2 linked regions of the Macaca fascicularis genome follow. The main gene of each other region encodes a partner of the protein of the gene in region 2 in a complex. Links are inferred from orthologs where the notes say so. Each region holds a gene or a part of one and is shown on either strand. Other genes may lie near its edges.

Region 1 (4,920 bases), on a different chromosome or scaffold from region 2:
ATATTTTGTGTTTTTAGTAGAGACGGGTTTTTGTTTGTTTGTTTGTTTTTAATAATAGAGATGAGGTCTCAGTTTGTTGCCTAGGCTGGTCTCAAACTCCTGGGCTCAAGCGATCCTCCCACCTCGGCCTCCCAGAGTGCTGGCATTACAGGCGTGAGCCACTGCACCTGGCCACAAATGTTATCTGCTTTAATACTCACTACTTCACAGGGGAGAACTGTTCCCATTTTATATAGATGAGGAAACTGAGTCCCAGAGAGGTTAAGTGACTTGCCTGAGGCCACACAGCCAGCGAGTGGCAGAACTAGGATGAGAATTCGGGCCAAATGAAGACAGGGTGGCACATTCACACCATCCCACAGATGGATGGGGTCTGTGTACCAGGCAAGGGGACACTGAGAAGGGTGACGAGGATGGCCCAGCCTCTGCGCAGAGGGCCACTCAGTTCTTGCGGGAGTTGCACCAGTTCCGTGGGGTGTTTGTCATGTGCAGGGCTAACCATGTGTCTGAGGGCTCTAGTGTCTGCAGAGGAAAAAAGTAACCCACAGGGGAGGGCTTCCTAGAGGAGGGGGTATGAACAAAAGAGAAACTTACCAGCAGAGGCAGGATGCAGTGGAGATTGCAGACAGGTGGGATAGTATGTGGAAAGAAGAGGAATGGGCACATCTGGGCAGTGGCAACTGGCCTGGTGTGCTTTGGAGGGTGAGAATCCATTTCATAGTTGGAGAAACTGAGGCACAACGAGGCTAACGTGCTCAAAGGCACACCGTCTGAAAGTGGGGTTGAATCCAGCCTGTCTGACCCTGGGCCTGTGCTCCCAGCTGCTACCACTGAGTTGTTCCTGGGTGGTGGTGGTGAAAAGTTTTAAGGGTAGCGAGACCCCGTCTCTCCAAACAAAAAAAAAAAATTAAAAATTAGCCAAGCATGGTGACACATGCCTGGAGTCCCAGCTGCTCAGGAGGCTGAGGTGGGAGGATGGCTTGAGCCGGGGAGTTTGAGGCTGCCTTCCAGCCTGGGTGACAGAGTGAGACCCTGCCTTGAAAAATTAAAAAAAAAAAAAAAAAAAAGACAAAACTAGGAATCTCAAATTTAAGAAAAAGAATTAAAAAATAATAATAATAACAGTTTTTTGTTTGTTTGTTTGTTTTGTTTTTTGAGATGGAGTTTCGCTCTTGTTGCCTAGGCTGGAATGCAATAGCACAATCTCGGCTCACCGCAACCTCCGCCTCCCAGGTTCAAGCAATTCTCCTGCCTCAGGCTCCCGAGTAGCTGGGATGACAGGCATGCGCCACCATGCCTGGCTAATTTTGTATTTTTAGTAGAGACGGGGTTTCACCATGTTGGTCAGGCTGGTCTTGAACTGCTGACTTCAGGTGATCTGCCCGCCTCGGCCTCCCAAAGTGCTGGGATTACAGGCGTGAGTCTCCGTGCCCGGCCAATAACAAAGTTTTAAGTGGATATTCAGGCTTGTGGTCACAGTCGGGAGGGCCTGTCAGGGCTCCACAGCCAGCTTACGACAGCTATGACAGGGTCAAGGCTGGACAGGCAGTTTCCAACGCCCCAGCCTGTGTGGCGAGGGGACAAGTAGACCATCTGGGAGCCTGGCTGAAACACGGGGCCTCCTCTTGAGGTGTCTCATCTCCCCTGGCCCAGAGCCCAGGAAGGAGGGCCCAGTGTCTTCTGCTGCCTGAGGAGCCACAGGAGTTAATAATTACGGGGTTGAAGGAGATAGCGGCTGTCCTGGGAGGTGGTGCCTCCCTCCCAGGCTGCTGCTCTGAGGAGATAGCAAAGGTTAGTGTGAGGCCCAGCCTAGTGGGGGGAAGAAGGCTCCTGCTACCTCCCTTCCCAGCACCCTCCAGAGGGACCCTCAGTCTGGCCTTCCAAGCATGGACTCTTCTGAGGAGCACGCCAGGTGCCCCGCCCGAGGGACATGCCCCGTGTTCCTGGCCATGAGTGCAGGGACTGTCCGCTACGCCCCATTAGGCCTGTGCCCTGCACTTGAGGGGAGCTTGAGAGAAGAGCCCTGGGGCACAGAAAGGTGAGCTCAGGACCTGCGGCATGGAGGGGAGGGGGAATCTTGGCGAGCTTCAGGGCAGCCGGTGTGAGAAGCTGGGCTCAGAGAGTCCTAGGGAATGGCTCTGACTGTCTTGTCCAATTTGGTGGCTGTAGAGAGGTGGAGACTGAAGCTCAGATAGGGCAAGACACTCGTCCTGGGTCACACAGTGAGCTGAGGTCAGACTTGTAAGTCCAGAATCAGGGCCTGGGTCATCCAGGCTGACTGTCTCCTACTCCTCAGCTGCCTTCAGCCAAGGGTCTGTGGTCAAGGCTGTCAGGCTTGGGATGTAGCAGGCAGAGGGGGATAGAGGGAGGGAGGGTCAGGAGGGCAGTGGCTTGTGGGCAGAGGACACAACTTTTTTTTTTTTTGAGATGGAGTTTCGCTCTTGTTGCCCAGGCTGGAGTGCAATGGTGCGATCTCGGCTTACAGCAACCTCTGCCTCCCGGGTTCAAGCGATTCTCCTGCCTCAGCCTCCTGAGCAGCTGGGATTACAGGCATGCACCACCACGCCCAGCTAATTTTGTATTTTTTAATAGAGACAGGGTTTCTTCATGTTGGTTAGGCTGGTCTCAAACTCCCGACCTCAGGTGATCCGCCTGTCCTGGCCTCCCAAAGTGCTGGGATTACAGACGTGAGCCACCGCGCCTGGCCCAGACACAACTTTTATTTCTCCCTTCCCTGCCACTGGCCAGGAACCTATAGCCTGTGCTCGGGAACCTCTTGCTGCCTGGCTGCACACAGCTGCAGCTGCCAGTGAGCTTCTAGTTTCTGGATGGTCTTTTTGGAAAACTGGTGTAAGAGGACTCAGCCCCACTGCCCCTGGCTGTGTGATATCTGGCAAGTTCCTTAACTTCTCTGAGCCCATCCTTTTTGGCTGAGGAGCAAGTTCAGCTGAGCAGTAGGGTCCTCCCTACTGGGGGAGGCAGTGAGGCCTAGGAGTCCATGGTAGCAGGAAGCATGGATGACAGGCTATTTTTGGTTAGAAATTGAGTGTCGATGCTTTCTGAGTGGTGACCACACACTTGTCCTTCGAGACCTCGCTCAAGGGCCTCCCCAGTCCACCAGCTGTCCCAGGCTGAGGACTCTTCCTCCAGGGACATAGCCCTGAGCTGACGCCTCCTCCACCCACTTTATCTCCCACTGGTCTGGGTTGCCATGACTTACCTCCTCCCGGTGCTTGTGAAGACTTGAGGGCAAGGGCCCTGTGCTGGGTTCCTTTTGTGTCATTTTCTCCTCCTTCTCTAAATAGTGAACAAAACAAGGGCCAGGAAGACAACAGTTGCTCAAGACCTACTGATGAGGGATTCAAGCCAGCAAACACATGTGGACATCTGCTTTGGGTGGGCCAGACCCTGAGCTGGGCTGGGGGCGGGGTGAGGGAACACAGCTCCAAGAAAGAGAGAATCCCTGCCCTCTGGAAGCCATGGCCATGGAAACAACTGCCCTGCTGCGTGATGGCTATGGGACGCCTGGGCTGAATGATTCTAGAAAGTTGGAAGGGATGCTAGGGAGAACTGCCAAGGTTGTTCACTGCACAAAATGCTGGCCAAGGGAGCAAGCAAGGCATAGAATCCAGCCTCGCCTCCACTCTCCAGATTCCCTACCTTGTTGTGCACTATGCCCAGTGGGGAAAGAGCACTGTTGTCTATTTGTACTCTGGACATGGAGGTCTTAGAGAATACCTCCCTCATCCTCCATCCTCCATCATGGAGCCCCAGGAGGGCAGAGCCTATGTCTGCACAGTTTCCTTCTGGGTCACCAGCCCTTGCATGGCCCATAGACTATGCTCAGATGGAGTGGCTGAATGTATGAATGAGTTGAATGAATGAATAAAATGTGTCCTCAAATGAAGATCTGACTAGCTTGAGCCTGGGGCCTGAGTCAGTGGGCCTGGAGGGGTTCAGCACTAGGACCTCTGGTAGCACCTAGAAGGGCAAGTACCTCCCCCCAAGCTCCCAGTCCTCCCCCAGACAGGGAAGGTGGGAGCCATGGTTCCTGGTGGGAGAGAAGAGGGGTTCTGCTCTTACTGGTCCAGTCCCAGGCTGAAGTTGAGAACAATGATCAGGACTCAGAATGGGTGGGACAGAGGAACTGAGGGACAGGTAGACCAGTGGTCTGGGATTCAGGGAAAGGTTTCACGGAGGATGAGGAACCAGACAGGTGTGCGTATGTGTGTGTGTTGGTGGGGGTGGGGTGGGGAATACTATCCAGAGGGCAGATGGTGGGTAAAGGCAGGGATGGGCACAGTGTGTTAAGAGGCAGGAGGCTGGGTGAGGAGAGTTGGACCAGAAGTGGAAACTCCTTCGGGGTAAAACTCAGAGAGTAGGACTCAGAAAACTTGTTTCGGGTTTGTCCCCTCCCCTTCCCAGCAGGCAGGATATTGCACAGGGACAGGCACTAAGCAGATAGACTAGGGAAGGAGTGCCGGTGAGGATGGGGGAGGGTGTCTGCTGGCCTTAAGTGACAATCTGTGTGAGAATCCAAGAGCTGAGAGCCCGGGAGCCATTGTAGGTTCTTGAGCAGGGGTGGCCCAAAGTGGGTGGTGCAGAGGGCGATTGGAGAGGACGAGTCAGCTAGGGAGTCTGAGCGCGGCGCGGGCCGCGGGATGTTGGGGGCCGGGTTCCTTCCCCGCGCCGCGGTCTCCTTGTCCCGGCGCGGCGGGCCGGGTGGGGCCGGGCCCTGGGAGCGCGCGCCCGATCCCAGCGCCCGGCCGGCGAGGGGCGGGGCCGGGCACGTGTCCTCGGGCCGCCCCCCTCCGCCACGTGACCCGCCCAGGGCAGGGTCGGGGCTGGGCTGGGGGCCGCGAGCCCAGGCAGCTGAGACCTACTGACCGGCCGCGGGCTGGGCTGACAGGCGGTGGGGCG
Region 2 (4,821 bases):
CAAACAATCCTCCTGCCTCAGCCTCCCAAAGTGCTGGGATTACAGGCCTGAGCAACCACACCCAGCTGCAAGCCCGATTTTCCTAATGTATCTCTCCTCTTTTTCTTTTCTTTTTCTTTTTCATTTTTTTGAGACGGAGTTTTGTTCTGTTGCCCAGGCTGGAGTGCAGTGGCACGATCTTGGCTCACTGAAAGCTCCGCCTCCCGGGTTCACGCCATTCTCCTGCCTCAGCCTTCCGAGTAGCTGGGACTACAGGTACCCGCCACTACACCCGGCTTTTTTGTATTTTTAGTAGAGATGGGATTTCACCGTTAGCCAGGATGGTCTCGATCTCCTGACCTCGTGATCCGACCGCCTTGGCCTCCCAAAGTGCTGAGATTACAGGCGTGAGCCACCGCGCCCGGCCTTTTTCTTTTTTTGAGAGGCTTCTCGCTCTGTCGTCCATGCTGGAGTGCAGTGGGACGATCACCGCTTACTGCAGCCTCAAACTCCTGGCCTCCCAAAGCACTGGGATCACAGGTGGCAGCCACAGCCCCGGCCTGTTTTTTCAGTGTTGAGAGTCCTGGCCCCTAGATAGGAACAAGCATCCTCACTGTTCTAAAGCATCCTCACTGTTCTAAACCCCCCGGGCTGGCCCGGACAACTCCTAAAGCGGCCGAGGGCGGACCCTGAGGAGGCCGGCGCGCGCTTCGGGGCACAGCTTGTGGCGGTGAAGCCGCTCAGGTGGCGGAGGCCTTGGGTATCTGTAAGCAGGTCGCTAGGCCGCAGACCTCGGAACTCGTCTTGAGTCACTTTTATTTATTTATTTATTTTTGAGATGGAGTCTTGCTCTGTCGCCCAGGCTTGAGTGCAAAGGCGCGATCTCGGCTCACTGCAACCTCCGCCTCCCAGATTCAAGCAATTCTCTGCCTCAGCCTCCCAAGTAGCTGGGATTACAGGCGCCCACCACCACGCCCGGCTAATTTTTGTATTTTTAGTAGAAATGGGGTTTCACCATCTTGGCCAGGCTGGTCTTGAACTCCTGACCTCGTGATCCACGCGCCTAGGCCTCCCAAAGTTCTGGGATTTCAGCCACCGCGCCCGGCCCGGGTCACTTTTCGAGTATACAGTGTCTCCTCTCTCCTTCCTCCGTCGGCCCCCGCTGCCCCGACTCGGAGGCCGCAGATCAGGTTGAGAGCGCTACCATGGTTTCCCGCGCTCGCCTCGGGGCCTATTGCGCCTGCGCGAGTTGTGACGGCGGGACCCAGAGATACCCGCCCCAAGTACAGGATTGCGCCCTCTGCCGTCGCCTAACGGAACTCCGGGCGCGCGTGAGCACGCACCCCAAGCCCCGCCCCCCAGGCTGCCGGCGCGCGAGCCGTTGGCGACGCTCCCTGCGTTCCCTCTCCTGTAGTGGGGCGGGGCCGGGCCGCCCGAGTAGGGGGTGGAAGGCGGGGGCCACATAATGCCACGCCCCCGCCTCGTCCCCATTTGAAGCCCCACGACTCTTCACTGCTGGTCAATCAGAGCCCGTCCTCTCCCTAGTGCCGGCCAATGGGAGGTGCGCTCGGGCTGCTTCCGGCTCCGCGCTCCATTCGCCCCCTCCCCAGGTCTCCCCGCGACTGGCGGGACGCAGGGGCGGGCGTCGGCCGCGGTGACGCGCAGCGGGCCTGGAGCCAATAAGGGGCGGGCTCGGCGCTGATGGACGGTGCTGGTGGCCAGTGGAGAGGCGCTGGCCGCACTTCCCGTCGGGGAGAGAGTGTAATATGGCGAAGACCTACGATTACCTGTTCAAGCTGCTGCTGATCGGGGACTCGGGGGTGGGGAAGACCTGTGTCCTGTTCCGCTTCTCCGAGGACGCCTTCAACTCCACTTTTATCTCCACCATAGGTAGCGGGACCGGGGAGTGGCTGGGGGCGCCAGAGGCCCGGGCTGGGCGCGCCCCTGAGGGGCTGGGGCTGAGGGATCTACCGGGCTGGACTGGCCGAGGGCGCTGAGAGGGTCGAGGGGGCCTAAGGGGAGAAGAGCAGTCGCCTGTACCGCCGTTCGGGGGTTCCTGGGCCGTGGTGGGGGAGACCAGGTGCCCATTTTGCAGATGGGGAGACTGAGGCTCCGACCCTCAGCCCGCTCGTTAGGGAGTGTTATGTCCTGGGCTGGGGTCTTCGCGCCCGTCCTCTCGATCTGTCCTAGCAGCAGCCCTCAAAGCGGTTCTTTTGAGGCTCCTGCCTTACAGAAGTGGAAACTGAGTCATGGGGAATTGGCCATGGGAAAAAGACGGTAACATCTCACCTTAATGAGCATTTACTATGTGCCAAGTGCTTCCCGTGCATTTTCACACTCTCCAGTTCTCGGTGTTAAGTGCTGTTTTGAGCCCGTCTCACAGATGAGGAATTTGAGGCTCAGGGTGGGCCTGGAACTTGCCCAAGGCCACACAGTCTGCAGGTGGTGAGAATGGGATTTGATGGAATTTGAACCTGGCTGTGTCTCAACCCAAAACTCGAGGCTTAGCTATCCTAGAGAGATGCCACCTCACACTCCCAGCTGATGACAAGCTCAGCTAATGCACCTTGGAGCCGGAACTGTAACCCACACCATTCCTGCTCTTTTCTCTGGAGCATTCAGAAGTTGAACCCCTCTCCCTGACCATTCTTCCCCTCATAAGTGTATTTTCCTCTAGAAGGAATGATAAGAGGAGTCAGGACCTTTTCCCTGCCCACATTTCATCCTGCTCCAGGATGACAATAATGACAAGTGACAGCACTGCCTGCCCTGGAACCTGTCATCTGCAAGAAGATGCAAGATAAAAGCCTCAGCGAGCAACTAAATCAGCCACTGCCACAGACAGCCTTGACTTCCCTATCAAAGGGCCCAAGACTCCGGTTGTCACTTTAGAACAGCTTTTCCCGTAGGGCCAGCCCACATTGTGGTTGAACAGAATTGGCTTGGTGCATCTCAGTTGTGCCGTCTGCAGAAGTGGAACTGACCTCTCTCAGTGCCACAAAAGCAGTCCTGGCCCACAATGAAAAGGTTAGACCGGGGAGTAACACCAGTCTGAGTGGCCTGGGAGCTCTGTAGCCCTGCTAGGGATGGGGAAAATGGGGGAACGGTCACTAAGGAGTTTATTCCAAGTCACGAAAACGTAGGGAATGGCCTTTGCTTTACTGTGTCACTTCAACAGAATCATGTTTTCTCCCTGAACCCCACGATAATGTGCTGATTCCATTCTTGCCCCCCTCCAGGAGCTGTGCTTTTTTTATTTTATTTTATTTTATTCTATTTTATTTTATTTTATTTTATTTTATTTTTTGAGATGGAGTCTAGCTGTTTTGCCCAGGCTGGAATCCAGTGGTGCTATCTCGGGTCACTGCAACCTCCGCCTCTCGGGTTTAAGCAATTCTCCTGCCTCAGCCTCTCTAGTAGCTGGGACTATAGGCACCCGCCACCACGTCCAGCTAATTTTTGTATTTTTAGTAAATATGAGTTTCACTATGTTGGTCAGGCTGGTCTCAAACTCATGACCTTGTGATCCACCTACCTTGGCCTCCCGAAGTGCTGGGATTACAAGCATAAGCCACTGCACCCAGGATAGCTGTGCTTTATAAAACAGTTATATGCCTGATGTAAAGTAGAGAGAACTGACTGGAAATCGTTACGTCTGGTTTCCAATTGCTGTTTGCCCTTGAACATACACTGCCCCTCTCTGAGCCCTGCTGTCTTTAGAGCAGGAGTGACGCTGTCTCCTGGGCTAGTGCCCTGGTGGTTGAGGATTAGAATTAGACAATAAGGGGTTATCACCGTAACCAGAGGCCATCTCGAAGAAGCAAATGAATGAATGGCTCCTGCAGTGACAGCATCCAGCCTCTGAAGACAGATGGTTCTGAATTCTTCCCCCTCCCCAACTCCAAGGCCAAACTTTAGGGTAACTCTTGTGCCCCAACCGATCAAGAAGTGGCGTTAATTCAGCCTGGGCAACATAGCAAAACCCCATCTCTATAAAAAATAAAATAAAATTAGCCGGGCATACTGGCTTACCCGTATAGACCCAGCCACTTGGGAGGCCAAGATGGGAGGATTGATTGAGCCCAGGAGGTCAAGGTGCAGTGAGCTGTGATGGCGCCACTGCACTCCAGCCTGGGCAACAGAGCGAGACCCTATCTTAAAAGAAAGAAAGAAAGAAATTATGTTAACTGTGGGCAGACTGTGGCTTGCCTTCACTCAGATCCCAGTTTCCCGGCCTCAGCACCTTCCCCACAAACCCCCCCTCTTTTTTTTTGAGATGGAGTCTCGCTCTGTCACCCAGTCTGGAGTGCAGTGGCATAATCTCGGCTCGCTACAACCTCCGCCTCCCAGGTTCCAGCAATTCTCCTGTTTCAGCCTCCTGAGTACCTGGGATTACAAGTGCCCACCACCATGCCCAGCTAATTTTTGTATTTTTTTTTTTTTTTTAGTAGAGACAGGGTTTCACCACGTTGGCCAGGCTGGTCTCGAACTCCTGACCTCATGATCCGCCCACCTTGGCCTCCCAAAGTGCTGGCATTACAAGCATGAGCCACTGCGCCCAGCCCAGACCCCCCCTCTTTAGAGTTACTTTGAGCTTTAAAGAGGCTGTCTTCCATTTGCAGATGAGGATGTGACTTGGTGAAAGTTACCTAGCAAGGTGAAGGTGGCACCTGACCCCAGGATCCCTCCCTCTCACCCCTTCATTCCCCTCCTTCCATTTGTAGCCTTCTGTCTTCTAGGAATTTCTTTTTTTTTTTTTTTTTTTTGAGACGGAGTCTCTGCCGCCCGGGCTGGAGTGCAGTGGCCGGATCTCAGCTCACTGCAAGCTCCGCCTCCCGGGTT

Evidence for each region. The genes of interacting proteins can lie anywhere in the genome.
Region 1: the proteins of RAB8A (region 2) and RAB3IL1 are in contact, whole or in part, in a crystal structure (PDB 4LI0), measured with the Homo sapiens proteins. The link is inferred for Macaca fascicularis from reciprocal best matches to the Homo sapiens genes RAB8A and RAB3IL1. Residues at the interface, in NP_005361.2 of Homo sapiens: Lys10, Phe33, Ser35, Phe37, Ile43, Asp44, Phe45, Lys46, Ile47, Gln60, Trp62, Thr72, Ile73, Thr75, Ala76, Tyr77, Arg79; in NP_037533.2 of Homo sapiens: Arg104, Glu108, Leu111, Glu112, Thr115, Ala116, Phe119, Glu120, Ala122, His123, Arg127.

Annotation. Positions count from the first base shown.
Region 1 is NC_088388.1:12,062,821-12,067,740, forward strand, and holds the start of RAB3IL1 (guanine nucleotide exchange factor for Rab-3A), read left to right. Parts: upstream 1-1,794; 5' UTR 1,795-1,886; coding exon 1,887-2,038; intron 2,039-4,874; exon of another isoform or gene 4,875-4,920. UniProt on the Homo sapiens protein: Guanine nucleotide exchange factor (GEF) which may activate RAB3A, a GTPase that regulates synaptic vesicle exocytosis. Promotes the exchange of GDP to GTP, converting inactive GDP-bound Rab proteins into their active GTP-bound form.
Region 2 is NC_088393.1:16,426,044-16,430,864, forward strand, and holds the start of RAB8A (ras-related protein Rab-8A), read left to right. Parts: upstream 1-1,726; 5' UTR 1,727-1,745; coding exon 1,746-1,869; intron 1,870-4,821. UniProt on the Homo sapiens protein: The small GTPases Rab are key regulators of intracellular membrane trafficking, from the formation of transport vesicles to their fusion with membranes.